4 linked regions of the Saccharomyces cerevisiae S288C genome follow. Changing the gene in region 3 together with the main gene of any one other region gives a genetic interaction. Each region holds a gene or a part of one and is shown on either strand. Other genes may lie near its edges.

Region 1 (3,866 bases), on a different chromosome or scaffold from region 3:
CTATAAATGGGTCGCAATCCGTAATAAACGCCGTATAGAAGGCTACCGTACGGTCATTTTTGACATTCGCAAACGCTATCCTCCATTTAAATAGCGAGAGTGCTTCAAGGTACTCACCCTGGCTCAATTTCACCAATATATTGTTACTAGAATTTGCGATAAACATTTCTCTCCCGCTTTTACCTAAAATAGTAGATCCCAAGGTCCTCAGCGCACTATATAACGCACTTTTATATGCTATGCCCGTAGGATTGTAAAACTCTACCCCCAAATGAGGCGTTGCCATTGTAATGAATAATTGTGGTTCAATATCCTCGAACAGTTCTTTAAATTCGGTCAACATCTTACCGATCATAAATCGGGCCACTAATCCGCCTTGCGAATATCCCATTACGCTTAGTTTGGTGATTTTCCCGTCTTTATAATCTCGGATAAATTCACAAACTTCAATCAATGTCCTGTACCCAATGATTTCGATACCATCAAACGTCTTAAACATGGCATTCTGCTTTGGTAAAAAATATATCATATCATCGTTAACATCTTCCTTTTTTAATGTAGTGGATAAAATTGTCCTCATAGATTCCATATGAGTATAGTTACCCCATAGCCCGTGAATCAGCACAAAAAGGTGTTTATCCGAAGTCATCTGAAGCGCTGTATAATATATATGGTTGATCACACGAAGTTTTCTACCGATTATTGCAGTAAAGAGTTGCCACCCTTTCTTTATTATCTTTGTTTTTCATTTTGATCTTATATACTGAAAATCCCCGTTGATCATGATTTGGTAAAGAGCTTCAGAAGAGTTTCCACAGTTTCCTGCAATGATTCAAACGAAACCTCTTCACCAGATCCCATCGAAATGCGTTTTAATTCATCCCTGTGCGTAAATTCAGCTGCATCAAACGTTATCTTGTATAACTTTTGATAGTCTGTAATAGAATTAGAAATACCTCGAAGTCGGAGGCCACCCAAAATTAGCTTGGACAAAGTTTCATTGAATTGAAGCCGTTTGTCATTAATATGCACGTTGCGATACACTTCCGTTTTCGTTCCGATCTTCCTTTGTTGAGATTGTTGTATTATTATATCAATACTACCTTCCTTTGATACGGAGGCCCTTGTCTTTCCAATATCTTGCTTCAATTTGGTGACCTGGCCATCAAACTCATGCTTCATTGTTAGATCCACTTGAAAGCAGTTTAACTCTGTGTTCTCTCGAAATATAATCAAGTATGCTGGCTCCTGCGATCGCTGATCGACCTTGTCAAACAATTCAATGACAATGCCACGATTCGCGTTCCTTAGTTTTGATTTGAAGTAAGCCTGTGCGGTTGCACTGGTACTATAACATCTATATGTATTCATATTTGTGGAGCGGACCCACAAAGGCAGTTTTGCGAGATCTACATACTGAATGAATTGTCCCCTCAACTCTGAAGTTGATTTACTTGCTGTAGGTCGATTGCTCCAAAGTTGGATATCCCTAATGACCAAACTTCCCTGCTTTCCGCTAAGAGTAAAATTTAGTGTGCATAATTTCCGTGACATCAAAAGTCAGGCGAATTGGTGAATGCTGTCCCCTTTCAAGGCAGTCTATCATTTCTTAGTTACCTGCCAACAGGCCTTTATCAGGCCTCAAAGAAAAAAATTTCCTTGCGTAGCCCGCTTTTCGCCCGAACCTGGCAAAGCAAACAGACGATCGAAAAATTTCCAACGATCTTATCTAGGTGGAAGTTATAAAAAGAAGAATAAAGCATCGTCAACCTTTTTAACCTGAATTGGGAAACAACGGGCACACACATTTGTTGGAGTTTGTATGATTGCTAAAAAATAAAAAGTAATTAAAAAAACATCATAGAGTTGTAAGGTCTCAGGGAAATAGAAGGAACAATAAACCTAAAAGAATAGAAGAAACAGAATGCCATTACCTCCGTCAACATTGAACCAGAAATCTAATAGAGTCTACTCTGTAGCTAGGGTGTACAAGAATGCCTGCGAGGAGAGACCACAAGAATACTGGGACTACGAACAAGGGGTGACCATCGATTGGGGAAAGATTTCCAATTACGAAATTATCAACAAAATTGGAAGAGGGAAATATTCCGAAGTGTTCAGCGGTAGATGTATTGTAAACAACCAGAAGTGTGTTATTAAAGTTTTAAAACCAGTTAAAATGAAAAAAATTTATAGAGAGTTGAAAATTCTGACCAATCTAACAGGCGGCCCCAATGTTGTTGGCCTTTATGATATAGTACAAGACGCTGACTCCAAAATACCTGCTTTGATCTTTGAGGAAATCAAAAATGTTGATTTCAGAACTTTATATCCTACATTCAAACTTCCTGACATCCAGTATTATTTCACGCAATTATTGATTGCGTTAGACTACTGTCACTCCATGGGCATAATGCACAGAGACGTAAAGCCTCAGAATGTCATGATTGATCCTACGGAACGTAAACTAAGGCTGATCGATTGGGGCCTGGCGGAGTTCTACCATCCAGGTGTAGATTACAACGTTCGTGTCGCTTCGCGTTACCACAAGGGACCAGAACTTTTAGTAAACTTGAACCAATATGACTACTCCCTAGACTTATGGTCAGTAGGATGCATGCTAGCAGCTATTGTCTTCAAAAAAGAACCTTTTTTCAAAGGGTCGTCTAATCCAGATCAACTGGTAAAGATTGCCACAGTACTAGGAACCAAGGAACTGTTAGGCTATTTGGGTAAGTACGGGTTGCACTTACCATCTGAATACGACAACATTATGAGAGACTTTACAAAAAAATCGTGGACACACTTTATAACCTCCGAGACCAAATTAGCTGTTCCTGAAGTGGTTGATTTAATCGACAATTTATTAAGGTATGACCATCAAGAAAGATTAACAGCAAAGGAGGCTATGGATCATAAGTTTTTCAAAACGAAGTTTGAATAATTGGACAACAATACTCTTAGCAAGGCAATTCTTTTTCCACCACTGATTTCCATTTATAAAAAGCAGGGGTTTTCCTTTTTTGTAGCTTGATATTAGAGAATATCCTTAATGTGAATATTAAATTGCAAACTCTATTTAACAACGAATGTAGATTATTATATGACCAGAAAATCACTTTATATAGATATAAGAGCCTTCCGTAATGCTATGCAAGTTTTGATGAATTATTATATTGTCGTGAGGCGTGTTCCGAGGAGTTTCGTCGCCATTGGGATAGAGATGCTCGTAATCGTACGTGTCTGGAAGTGCCTGCCGACGGTAGCGATGTCTACTCTCGTCCCAGACAATGGAATAGTTTTGGAATTGTTCTACATCATTTATTAGAACACATGATTCACGAAATCTCCCACGTTTGTCAATATCTCGCCTACGAACAGTGTCATCGAATGATATTGAACGCTGAGAGAGCCATTTACCTTTTGAGTAAAATACGCTGCCTTTTTTCAGCAATGAAGAAGCACTTCCCTCCTTTCTTACATCCAATAATTGCTTCCCTTGTTCCTTTATATTCCCCATAGGAAAGTCCGTTGGAGTAGGTTGCTCTCTTTCATGTATTCCAACCAGATCAGGTCCGTAAAGAACAGTAACGTCTATTTCTTTATTCCAGTTTATGCTTAGTGGATCAATTTTGTATTCATCTAAATTGAAGTGCTTTATGGACCACCTCCTCCATATACAATGATACAACCTAGCCATATATATGCTATAGTCAAACTCATTTTCAGAAGAGCAACTGGGTAACCTTAATAATTTATGCTTGCGCATTTTCAGCAACAAGCGCCAGGTAGTGGACACGTCCAAGCTATCATAGTTAAATTTGAAATGAAAATAATCTATGGCGGGGCGAATATAGTTGGTGGCG
Region 2 (3,968 bases), on a different chromosome or scaffold from region 3:
TGCACTTTATTACTATGTGGTCGAAAAAGTTTACATTAAAAAAGCTAATCTTAGGCGGGTATTTGTTTGCTCAAAAGGTCTATTGTGAAGACGAAAGTAACTCTATATACGGTACCTGGTCATCTAAATCAAATCAAGTGTTCACGGGACCGGGGTTTTATGATCCCGTAGATGAACTATTGATAGAACCTTCATTGCCCGGGCTTAGCTATTCGTTCACTGAAGATGGTTGGTACGAAGAAGCTACTTACCAGGTAAGTGGCAATCCTCGTAACCCAACTTGCCCCATGGCTTCGTTGATTTATCAGCATGGTACATATAACATTTCAGAAAACGGTACGTTAGTTCTGAATCCTATTGAAGTTGACGGTAGACAACTATTCAGCGACCCATGCAATGATGACGGAGTTTCGACTTATTCTAGATATAACCAAACAGAAACTTTCAAGGAATATGCCGTAGGTATAGATCCTTACCATGGTATTTACACCCTGCAATTGTACCAATATGATGGTACTCCAATGCAACCACTATATTTGGCTTATAGACCACCAATGATGCTTCCAACAGAAACTTTGAACCCAACATCGTCAGCGACCAGCACTGACGACCCATCCTCTAATAAGAAAAGATCACTGAGAAGTTTAGTGAGGAGGAGCCTGGAAAACAGACACAAGACGAATGCCATTAAAAGACAAAATACCTCATTTTTAACCTCCAATGCCATTTGGTATATTTCTGCGGGTATGCTAGGTGTAGGTTCATTATTATTTTTAGCATTTTAGGCGCACTACAGGGATACTTATTCAACCAATGGGGGAAAGAGGCCCCATGTGGCCTTCAAATAAATATTAAAAACTATAAACATATAAGGCAAAACAACTTTATCAGGCGAGAAAGAGAAGCAAGAATAGGTGTAATTTTATGCACCCAAGGAATTGATTGTAATCATATTATTAAATAAGGTGGATGAATAAAAGATTTTCAAACCAGTTTTTCCGAGATAGTTAATTATGTACGAGTGACAAATGGGATATCAATCAATGAACACAATCAAAACACCTTATTATGACTTTCTTGTTATATTCTTATATACATAACCAACATTTAAATGTCAATTTCTTCAGTTTCTAGCCCGCAGTCTGTACATCTTCTTCTTTGAATTTGATAACCGTCTTCATCAATACCTCCATCAACTGGATCACTAAAATGATGAATATGGGCTTTCCCATGCTTCTTTTCTCTTAATCTATTAGTATATTCTTGAGCTCTTGTTTTCAGTCGCATTTCCTTGATTTTCTTTTCGTATTTTTTCTCCCTTCTGTGAGCCTTTCCTTCTTCACGACGTTGCCATTCCTCATCTAAACCTTCTTCTCCACCCCATTTCTTGAACGCAAAGGCTTCCACTTCACATCTAACAAATAGTTGCATTCTTGCAAATGTCCCCGAATGAGGGTTCGGCTTTTCTAGTCTATGAAAGAGATCCTCATCATTCAATTCGGGGTCTGTTAAAAAGTAATCTTCCTTACATTCTGTTTTCGTCAGTAGTGCATACTTTTCTGGATGCTCCTTAGAACACTGTTTACAAACTTGTAACTTGAACACATCATGTAGCACAGGATCCATCTCAATATTAATATGACATTCAATACATTTCGGCGCCTTTGAAATATGCTCTGGAGGAGGTGCATTTTCGTACAGCATTTTCCGTTCAAGTTGTTCCTTTTTCCAGTCCTGTAGTGTCTTCTGCTTTTTAGATCCAAACTCAGATTCAAATTCTTGGTCATCGGTAAAGTCAGAATTTGGAAGCTTGTCCTTAGGGTTGATATAACCACCATTCAAGTTCTGCATGGTGGCAAAATCGTACTCAATGTAATCTTGTTTCCTTATGCTAGGTCTGATTCTATCCGTTGGCCTTTTGTCGAGTACCGACGCATCCCTTTTACTTCCATCAACTACTCCGCTACCATAAAGTGAAGTAGTGTTAGTGTTAGTGTTAGCAAGCGCAGACGGTTGTCCATTATGATTTGGCACATGTACTGCGGCTGCTGCATTATCATCCCGATTGCTGCCACTAGTAACTGCGAGAGGCCGGGTTTTTAAAGGTTCATTCCTACTTTCTATTCGATTCAATTGGTCGCTACTCAGTATTCCCCTTTTTCTTAACCGTTCTATTGCTAATTTCCTGTTAGCCTCCTGCACAGCTCATCTCATCGTTAAATTGTTAGTAAAAAGAAACCCACGGTTAAAATACAAACACAGAATCATTTTCACACATACTAGTTTGGCCTTTTGTTCGGGAGTCATAGCGTTACGTTCGATACCTTCACTACGAAGATCCAAACTCTTTTTCTAGTTCCGATAAATTCCTTACCTTCTTTTCACTTTCCTCTTTTCTCCCTACAACTTAGCAAACGTCAAACATGCTGTAGATAGAGCTTCTATAGAAGTACAGTTATTCAAACAAAAAAAAAAAAAAAAACAAGGGTTGTGGAGTATGCCACTAGCAGTCTGCTATGTTGATTCTGCTTATTATCAACGAAGTATCCCATTATGATCTTATGCAATGCACATTCCTGCCCTTACGCTCCAGGGCAGAATCGAACCACGGCCCTCGTATAAGCCGCAAGGAAAACTACCGGTGCTATCGTTCTCGTTTGGATGATTTTCAGTATGGAAGAATTTGGATAGATCTGCAGCGCCATGGTATATAAGAGAAAGAAGCGGTAACGTTTGACACTGGGTTCAGATCTCTCTTGTCGCTCAATCAAACTAAGACTAGCCCAGACCATTATAGCCATGAAGTTTTTCCCACTCCTTTTGTTGATTGGTGTTGTAGGCTACATTATGAACGTATTGTTCACTACCTGGTTGCCAACCAATTACATGTTCGATCCAAAAACTTTGAACGAAATATGTAACTCGGTGATTAGCAAACACAACGCAGCAGAAGGTTTATCCACTGAAGACCTGTTACAGGATGTCAGAGACGCACTTGCCTCTCATTACGGGGACGAATACATCAACAGGTACGTCAAAGAAGAATGGGTCTTCAACAATGCTGGTGGTGCGATGGGCCAAATGATCATCCTACACGCTTCCGTATCCGAGTACTTAATTCTATTCGGAACCGCTGTTGGTACTGAAGGGCACACAGGTGTTCACTTTGCTGACGACTATTTTACCATCTTACATGGTACGCAAATCGCAGCATTGCCATATGCCACTGAAGCCGAAGTTTACACTCCTGGTATGACTCATCACTTGAAGAAGGGATACGCCAAGCAATACAGCATGCCAGGTGGTTCCTTTGCCCTTGAATTGGCTCAAGGCTGGATTCCATGTATGTTGCCATTCGGGTTTTTGGACACTTTCTCCAGTACTCTTGATTTATACACTCTATATAGAACTGTCTACCTGACTGCCAGGGACATGGGTAAGAACTTGTTGCAAAACAAAAAGTTCTAAGCTGCCCGACCTCACGAAATCAGTCATGCGGTAGTCCATTATAATATAACTATTATTATTATTACTATTACTATTATTATTATTATTATTATTATCTATTGTTTATATTCTCTTTAGCTTTTTATCACCTACGACGACGGATATATTCGGCGTTTGCAAAAAGTGAAAAAGGCGTCTTTTGGTGGACATGAACTCAATCTTCAATTCTTTGAAAGCGGTGTATGCGTATAAGGCCTTTTAACCATCGTGCAAAACAATAAAAGACTACCAATAACCGACGTGAATCATGTCTGCACCAACTCCATTAGCAGAGGCCTCTCAAATTCCCACTATCCCGGCCCTTTCTCCTTTGACTGCGAAGCAATCCAAGGGGAATTTCTTCTCCTCAAACCCAATATCTAGCTTTGTTGTGGATACGTACAAACAATTGCATTCTCACAGACAATCTTTGGAGCTGGTCAATCCCGGTACCGTGGAAAACCTGAATAAGGAAGTCTCCC
Region 3 (5,431 bases):
AATTGTTATTATTCATAGGGTTGTTATTGCCACTCGCAACAAAGGAATCCGCATCTGTTGTGTTATTGTTCGAGGCCGGAGAAGCACGATCAGAATTGCTTGTATCCATAGCATTACCTGTCCTTGCTGTATTAGAGGGGCTGGTTCGCTGTGTATGTAACGGAAATAGTGATAAATCATTGTTTTCATTCAAAGTGTCCATCGTAGGACATGAAGGGAGGAAATCACTTTCTGCAGTGTTAGTGGACCCGACAGGCTGTGTTCGCGCCTGATTTAAAGAACCATGAATCAGTGATAGATACTCTGTTTCATCACTTTTTGTAGTTGGCAAGAAAACTGATTCTGCACTTGTTGCAATGGAAATTTCCAGCACACTTTTCTTATTATATAACGGTGTTTGCTTGATGAAACCACGATCCGCTAAATAGTCCGATAGCACCCTATTAATAAACATAGTGCTATTACTAGCATGATGTGTTATGAATGACCTAACAATATCATTATTACTAGATATTTGTTTTGCCGCGACTGGATCTGACTCTCTCCTCAACCCGGTGTCTTGCCTTGTGTGTAACTGGTCTATGGTGGTATACGGAACAGAATTCCTGTGCCTATCCGGTTGGTAAGATCCCGTAATATTGTAAGCCTTAGTGCCAACATCTGAAGGAAAACTGTTCCCCCTACACATGGCAGTTGATGCGGTAGAATAGTTACGGTTCATCAAATTGGAATAATCGTCCATACTAGATGTTGGACTATTACCAGTTCCAAAAAAAGAAGAAAGGGCGTCCCTAACACTAGATGACCTCCTTCTACCACTAAATCCTGACGATTTTTGTGGCGAGAGGGAGGTAGAAATCATCTCTCTGTTACGGGCTAGCCTTTGCAATATATCACCCTCGTCGCCTGCAGAAACGTTCTGGACGACATCTCTCTTGTTGCCGTTGCTCGCAATTGCTATTGGGACAGTAGATTGCATGATTGACTTTGCTTACTAGTCTGACTGATTACCCTTGGAGAGCCATCATAATAAATAAAACAGAGAAACGACGATATATATAGTCCAAACCGTGACAACTATGCAGGGAACGGGAGACGGGATTCAATAAGCCGGGGGTCTTTTCCATGTGATACCGAGTAAGGCATAGCCATCATTTGGCAGATCTACAAAATAAAGAAGCCCAGGGTTTGGCCGTGCAGAATCGCTGCGCCAACCCCGGATTTTGCATTTCTTATTCCACTAGGGCTGGTCGTGGGGTACGTGGGGAGCGGTATCCCTTAAAATGAAAAAAAAGAAACTATACCACCCACGCATCCAAACGACCGGGCGAGCGGGTAATAGATGGTTCTATTCTTTAGCCGCCGAAGCTTTCTTCTCTATATACATGTAAATGTATATAATTCCGGAAGTGTGGTCCTGCTACGAACAACACAAACCGATTAATTGATAATGGAAAGAGGAATGAGGTTGGGACAAGTAATACCAACTGGGGCTACAGGAAGGTGGTGAAAGAGGGTATCACATATAAGAACAAACCGTTTATTCGATTATTTAAATCTATTTTAGGCCACGAAGGTAGAGAGGTTGCGAGTGAAAACAACTAACTTTCTTTACGATATTTCTCAATTGGAACTGACAGCGTTAAAGTCCATATTTTGCTACTGATTGCTTTTCTTTGGTGTTATCTACCTTAAGAGAAAAAAAATTCAAATGAAGATTACCCGACTCTGAGTTTTGACGTCCTTAGCTGTTTGTATTCACTGAATTTAGTGGGCTTGGCCATATGAGAATTACAACTAAATCATACTTTTTCGAGATTTTATACTGCTAATATTGGAGAAGAAATATTGACCATCTTGATTTAGCAACGAGAAAGACCTGAACACCATAATGGGCTCTTCGTTGAGAAGCTTTATCAAAGACGTTCGTGGTGCCAAAACACTGGCAGATGAAAGGGCAATTATAACGAAACAATCTGCTAAAATTAGGACAAAATTGAGAGATGACCATCTACCACATGAAAAAAGGCGAGTAAATATCCAGAAACTTCTGTATCTATACATTCTAGGGGAAAAGACACATTTCGGTCAGGTGGAGTCTATCAATTTAATTGCTTCTGACGATTTTGTCGATAAAAGATTAGGCTATCTGGCCGCAACTTTATTGTTGGACGAATCTGAAGATTTATTGACACTCTTAACGAACATGTTGAACAACGATTTGCATCATCCCAACAAATATGCAGTGTCACTTGCACTAACCTCATTAGGCTTTTTGAGCTCCCCTGAATTAGCCAGAGATTTATACCCAGACGTCGAAAATATCATCAAAAATTCAAGAGACCCTTTCCTCTTGAAAAAAGCGCTTCAATGTGCTGCCAAACTAATTTTCAAAGACGTTTCACTTTTAGAAATCTTCAACATCGAAGACATTACTAAGATATTGTCTAGTCATTCAATATGTACTCACGGTGTACTTTTAGGCGTTACGAAAATCATACAATCTATTTTGTTAATTGGATTGAACAGAAAAAAAGATGAGGATGAAGATGAAGACGGTATTGATTACAGCAATGACATCTTGTCTCCATTATCTTTACTTTTGCGTGATTTTTTCATTCGTTTGGAAAATATGAATTCTAAAAATATTGAACCTGGATATGATGTCCAAGGTATTTGTGACCCATTTCTGCAGTGTGAAATAATTTACACTTTAAAACTATACTTTCAAGTTGGTGAGCTCTTAAATTCGAACAATGTTTTGGACTACAAAGATAATTTCTGCGATTTATTGACTCGTATTGCGACGAATACGGATTCAACGAAAAACAGCGGACAGGCCATTCTTTATGAGACCGTGAAGACGATCTTTTCGTTGGATTTGAACCAGCCTCTACGTGTCCTTGGTATTAACATCTTGGCCAAGTTTCTTGCAGGAAAAGATAATAATACTAAATACGTTTCATTAAACACCTTATTAAAAGTTGTTCCCCAAGAGCCTACCGCAGTACAAAGGCATAGAAAATTCATTTCTCATTGTCTGCAGGATACCGATGTGTCGATCCGCATGAGAGCGTTAGAGTTGAGCTTCGCCATCTTGGACGATTCAAATTTAGTGGAATTGGTTAACGAATTGATGAAATTTTTGGCAAAACAGGATGAAGATTCAAAAGATCTCATAATATACACTATAGATCACTTAATTGACACTTTTGATACCCGCGTTGTCAAAGATGAAAGCTGGAAATTAGATGTTTTCTTTAATATCTTAAAATTAGTGGGATCGTTTATCAACTATGAAAAAATTAATGATATTCTAATCATAATAAATAATACGAGCCAGTTATCCGACAAATCTGAATTTTTACGGAAAATGCTGACAATTTCACTAAATGGAACATCAGCGGAGATTTCCGAGGAAAATATTGGTTGGCAGTTGGTTTTGATTTGGTGCATTGGCGAATATGGCGATTTAGTACTCAACGAGGGCAATAAAAATGGTGCAGACATAATCAATGAGTCATCTATTACTGATTACTTACTAACTTTGCAAGAACTCTACACAGCAACGAATCTGAAGATAATCAATTACATTTTAACAGCAGCATTAAAATTATCTGTGAGGTTCCATGACGCGAAAAATATTGAAAAACTAAGACAACTGATATTGAGCTACACGGATTCCACTGATTTATCACTGCAAATGAAAAGCAATCAATACGAGATATTTTTCAATCAGTCAATTTCTGTGAAGAAGATCATTTTAGAAACAATGCCTAAATTTGAAAAAATTACCGAGGAACAGGATAATGGAAAAGCTCTATCGAAAAACCTTATCTCCAACGAACCAGTTGATCTGCTGTCAGATTTATTGGGTGAGGATAGCAAGGCTGAAAGCAAGGCTTCTACTGGTGACAATGTGAAACCAATTGACATATTAGAAGAGATTTTTGGAGAGAAGAATGACATTGCTCAGGTGCCCAAAAATGCGAACAAGGAAGAATCAATCAATCATTCGTCGGCAGTGGAGGCAAACTCAGGTGTCACCTTACCATTGGATGCCAACAAGATATATGACAGTTCCTCACTGAATGTATATGCTTCCTTGCTCTCTGCAAACTCTGGATTAGCACATTTGGATTTATATTTTCAGGCAAAGTCTTTAATATCTGACTTAAAAACTTTCTGTGCCGTTCCTAAAGCTCAAAAGCTAACACTAGGCCAGTTATATCCATCTTCCACAATAAACGCCAGCCAAATTTGCAAGCAGTCATTGAAAATTTCTGGATCTGGGAAACTGAAGTTAAGAGTTAAGTTGGATTTTCATTTAAATGGCTCTTCATCTATCACCAATGAACAGTTCGATCACAAATTCGATGAAACTCTATAAAAAATGCCTTTAAAATTACAGAACATAACATGATTAATGACCTTGCGTTGGATGGTCTGTCGCGCATATCAAGAGACACGTCACGACACAACACGATGAATAGAAATGCTATCTTCTGGGACACCATAAACGACTCCAAAATATTTTATATGTTAAGTAGCGATATATAACAACTAATAACATATGTACTTATATGCTCTCAATAGAATAGATAACAAAGAGAACAAAAACGAGAGTTTGATTTGAGGATATAGGTGAGTTGCCTCTTAATGAACAGAAGCACCTGTAGCCTTAGAAGCCTCATTGACGGAAGCTCTAATTTCATCCTTTTCTGTCTTGCTAACATCTCTTAGGATATATCTGTCGGTCAATGGGGCTACGATCTTTTGATAGATCATTCTAGCGCCACCAGTTTGAGGCAAGGCAATGTAGATTAAGAAAACGGTTTTCAAAAACCAGTAGAATGGAATCAAATATAGAATTGCCTTGGACCAGAATTCAATGACACTCAAAAATGAAAAGACAATCCAGTAGGTCAAGAGTTGTGTGTCATCGGTGGACGTTGGTGTCTTCAAAGCAACCAACGATAAATATGCTGGCAACACAAACCCAGCAAAATTGGAAAGAATTTCACCTACACCTCCGACGTTAATAAAAATCAAAAGGAGATAAGCGAAACCTAAACCAGCAACTAAATAAGATTTAGGCAAATTAGTTTTATTTTCTAATTGCTGTAAAATTCTATTACCAGAGTACTTCTGTAGAAAAAAATGTAGCAAGGAGGGTGAAAATTAGCTTTCTTGTTAGTATAACTGCTTCGGTTACGTGTGTCGGGTCATTTGGCTGTTTGAACCATGATGACGATGGAACCAATAAAACCATCTTACATACGGTATCGAATTGTTTCATTTGAGAGTGAATACTAGATGCATATTCGGACATGATTGGAGTGCGGTTATGTCTTTGTTTATTTGTTTTCACTACCAATTGCAATTTTAGATTCTTTCTTTCGGAATAACAAGCTTCAAGGGAATGTTTTTT
Region 4 (3,445 bases), on a different chromosome or scaffold from region 3:
AATATTTTCTCATCGGTTTGTTCATTAGAAGATTGGTCATTATTAATGGTGGTGGTTGAATTTCCGGAAAACGCAGCGGCTAGTAGACTCATATCCATTTGAGAAGCCTTTCCCAAATTTATTATATCATCATGAGAATGAATTCTTGCTTGTCTGTTTCTATTTTTGGCAAGCGCTAATGCTTTATAAACATGATGTTCCTTCTTAGATGACCCGTCCTCAGCATCGTCGATATTTTCCTGCTGTTTACCCTTGTTCTTGTTCAATATTCTTATGGCAGGTTCCAGGTTAGATGGTGATGTAGTTGAAGTTAGATTTTCATTGCCAATGATAGGGGTTTTGAATTGTTTAGAAGAAGTCGCTTCAGATGTGTTTGATGCTGGGGAAGCAGGATCGTTTAATATTATTACGTGCGATTCGACCTTGGAATCTCCCCACGAATGAGTAATTGTGCCCTTAATAGCAGGCAGAGAGTCTGTGGTTCTATTAAAATCTTTTGCAGGAGAAGTTTTTTTATATGCAGTATATTCACTTTCATTGTCATGACGTGAAAAGGAAGAGGTAGAAGAGGAAGGAAAGAGCGGCGGTGGTAATGGCGGCGGAGGTCCAGTATTTTTTGTGGGTGGATTTTGGAGAACAAATGAATTTGAAGTAGTCTGATTTGTGCTTGTGGTTGGAGTTGAAGCTAAATGCGAGTTTAAGTTTGAGTTTGAAGTTTTCTTGAACAACTTTGAAGTCTTGTTAGCCAAACGATGGAAAGACTCAAATCCAGGTGAGTGTTTCGCGGGTGGTGGAATGCTATCGTAATTCATTTGTGATGGTGTAGATGGTAGAAAGTCTAAGGAGTCATCACTTGACCTTTGAGAACTATTATTAGTATTGCCACTGAAGTTGCTATGTCGCTTGGGGCTTTCATCAAACGACGTGGACTTCTTATGGGCTTTTATGAAAGACCGCATGATGAAATATTCCAGTTATGCGTGTGCGTCTTGTGATGCAGATCCTTTTGGGCAAAAACAGTTGGTTTGTGCGAAAACGCAAGGTAATAAATAGGCTTAAAGGAACTAAAAAAAAAAAAAGGAAAATAACCAGCTAAGATTTAAGGTACAAGAAAGCGGTTGCACCTCAAGTAATGATAGTTATTAAACCTTGGATTGGACCAGATGTTTAAAATTGTTTTCAATAGTAGATTTGCAGTCGTAAATGCGTTCTCAGCAATATCATATTGTGTTTATGAAGTATTACCAAACGGGTAGAAGAACGGTTTAAGAGAATATGTCCGGATAAAGCGATCAGGAGAAAAGCTTAAAACCCAAAGTGGTCAATCTGCAGCCCATTTAGGCACTCTGCATTTAACCGATACCCGGATTGAAGAAAGCTGGCGGGTGTATGGGTGAAGGAGAAGAAAGGAAGTGATTAGGAGAAACCTCATGGAGATGAGCACATGCTACAACTAATAACGTTATTCTACTTAAAACGAGCAAAACAAAAAAAAAAACAAGACAATTGAAAACGCAATGGATGCATTCAGCTTAAAGAAGGATAATCGAAAAAAATTTCAAGATAAACAGAAATTGAAAAGAAAACATGCCACACCCAGTGATAGAAAGTACCGGCTATTGAACCGCCAAAAAGAAGAGAAAGCTACCACAGAGGAGAAAGATCAAGACCAAGAACAGCCCGCCCTGAAGTCAAACGAGGACAGGTACTATGAGGACCCGGTACTCGAGGACCCGCATTCTGCAGTCGCCAATGCAGAGTTGAACAAGGTGCTAAAAGACGTCCTCAAAAATCGGCTCCAGCAGAACGACGACGCCACAGCCGTCAATAATGTTGCTAATAAAGATACTTTGAAAATCAAAGACCTCAAGCAGATGAATACGGATGAGCTCAATCGTTGGCTCGGACGGCAGAATACAACATCGGCTATAACAGCGGCTGAGCCCGAATCATTAGTCGTTCCCATTCACGTACAAGGTGATCATGATCGTGCGGGCAAGAAGATCAGTGCCCCTTCGACCGATCTACCGGAAGAACTAGAGACCGATCAGGATTTCCTTGATGGACTGCTCTAATCGCGCGGTACGACAGTTACTGCGTGAAAAGATTATCAGCGCCCCTTTTTTTCTTCTTTGTTCTTAACGTTTCTTTTTCTTGCGGCTTATGCCCGTACTTATAAAACAACGGCCTCCCGTGCCCTATTACCTTCCTGATAGACCGGACAATAACGTCACTACATACAAAGTTATACACTAACAGAAACTCAAACACAAACGTTTTTATAATAGTCAAAATTAAATATCTCTCATAATGGGTTCCGAGACAAAACATTCTGCAAAAGTCAAGATTGTCACAAGGGAAAGTCCTCCTTCCGCCAAGGAGCACATGCGCCCCACTAAAACTCAAATATTAGTTCCACCGACGCAGAGTTTGCCCAATGGCAAGAAACCAAACTTCGGTAAGTCTACAAAACAGCGGCGAGAACCTAGGGAACGCACCTCGAAGACGGGACACGAGGACGATAAGGCAACGATGGTCACTGTTAACATAGATGCCTTCCTACATGATAAGGCCCCTAAAAAAAAATCGTGCAAATACAAGAAGAAGAAAACGAGACAGTACCAGGATAGGGCGGCGGCGTCGATCGATTCGAAACCGCACGTAGCTGGTCATACGGCCTTTGCCGGTGCTTCGTTCACAACAGATATCCCACATGAGGCAGCGCTACCCAAACCTAGTTTTGTTTGAGTAGCTGTGATTGTAAATTTTTTTATTTCTACTTGAGCGGGCGGGCTCTCATTTTTTTTTTTGGGGTTTTATTTAGGTCGGATTATTCATAAAGATGGCATTTATATACATTTTTACGCAATTACCCTCATATTCTTACACATACGGAGAAGTCATTGTTATATCTTCTTGCCTTCACATTGTTATCGGTGATTTTCTTTCTTTATTGATTGATTAGTTATATAAATTATTGCTATTAAAATACATAAAAGGGGAAGTAAAAACGTGCACGGCGCAGATCAACTTCACAATTACAAAACAACGTTCTTGGCCAATTTGTTCTTATATTGCAAAATGGATCCGTCCCATCTGGTAGCGGTCTTGTTTTCCACAACGAAAATATCTTGGGCAATTTTGTCTAATAATCTGAAATCATGCGAAACGACGACGACACCACCGTTAAATTCGTTGATGGCGTCGGCCAAGGAGTCGATGGTTGGGATATCCAAACCATTGGTAGGTTCATCTAATAGTAGGACATTTGGTTGTTCTAAAGCTAATAAAGCAAAGACGACACGAGAACGTTGACCTTCTGACAAGGTAGCCATTTGAACGGTTTGACCTTCCCCGGTTAGCCCGTAGCGACCTAGTTGGCCTCTCCAGAATTGGAAATCTTGTGAGATGTTAGAGTACTTGTCACGGACAAATTCTAAAGCAG

What was found.
Region 1: mutations in APL4 (region 3) and CKA2 together harm fitness less than expected from each alone (positive genetic interaction), as found in Saccharomyces cerevisiae (2 studies listed by BioGRID).
Region 2: mutations in APL4 (region 3) and ERG2 together harm fitness more than expected from each alone (negative genetic interaction), as found in Saccharomyces cerevisiae (2 studies listed by BioGRID).
Region 4: mutations in APL4 (region 3) and EDC2 together harm fitness more than expected from each alone (negative genetic interaction), as found in Saccharomyces cerevisiae (2 studies listed by BioGRID).

The regions. Positions count from the first base shown.
Region 1 is NC_001147.6:439,610-443,475, forward strand, and holds CKA2 (casein kinase 2 catalytic subunit CKA2), read left to right. Parts: upstream 1-1,924; coding exon 1,925-2,944; downstream 2,945-3,866. Other genes in the region: LPL1 (putative hydrolase), read right to left, coding at 1-649; SLD7 (Sld7p), read right to left, coding at 781-1,554; YOR062C (uncharacterized protein), read right to left, coding at 3,116-3,866. UniProt on the Saccharomyces cerevisiae protein: Catalytic subunit of a constitutively active serine/threonine-protein kinase complex that phosphorylates a large number of substrates containing acidic residues C-terminal to the phosphorylated serine or threonine.
Region 2 is NC_001145.3:664,738-668,705, forward strand, and holds ERG2 (C-8 sterol isomerase ERG2), read left to right. Parts: upstream 1-2,799; coding exon 2,800-3,468; downstream 3,469-3,968. Other genes in the region: ROT1 (Rot1p), read left to right, coding at 15-785; DNA repair protein RAD14, read right to left, coding at 1,108-2,196, 2,281-2,307; TOM complex pore protein TOM40, read left to right, coding at 3,755-3,968. UniProt on the Saccharomyces cerevisiae protein: C-8 sterol isomerase; part of the third module of ergosterol biosynthesis pathway that includes the late steps of the pathway. ERG2 catalyzes the reaction which results in unsaturation at C-7 in the B ring of sterols and thus converts fecosterol to episterol.
Region 3 is NC_001148.4:623,428-628,858, reverse strand, and holds APL4 (AP-1 complex subunit gamma), read left to right. Parts: upstream 1-1,891; coding exon 1,892-4,390; downstream 4,391-5,431. Other genes in the region: CSR2 (Csr2p), read right to left, coding at 1-979; YOP1 (Yop1p), read right to left, coding at 4,657-5,148, 5,282-5,332. UniProt on the Saccharomyces cerevisiae protein: Adaptins are components of the adapter complexes which link clathrin to receptors in coated vesicles. Clathrin-associated protein complexes are believed to interact with the cytoplasmic tails of membrane proteins, leading to their selection and concentration.
Region 4 is NC_001137.3:220,329-223,773, forward strand, and holds EDC2 (Edc2p), read left to right. Parts: upstream 1-2,310; coding exon 2,311-2,748; downstream 2,749-3,445. Other genes in the region: ZRG8 (Zrg8p), read right to left, coding at 1-959; YER034W (uncharacterized protein), read left to right, coding at 1,518-2,075; ATP-binding cassette family ATPase ARB1, read right to left, coding at 3,039-3,445. UniProt on the Saccharomyces cerevisiae protein: mRNA-binding protein which stimulates mRNA decapping by DCP1 and DCP2.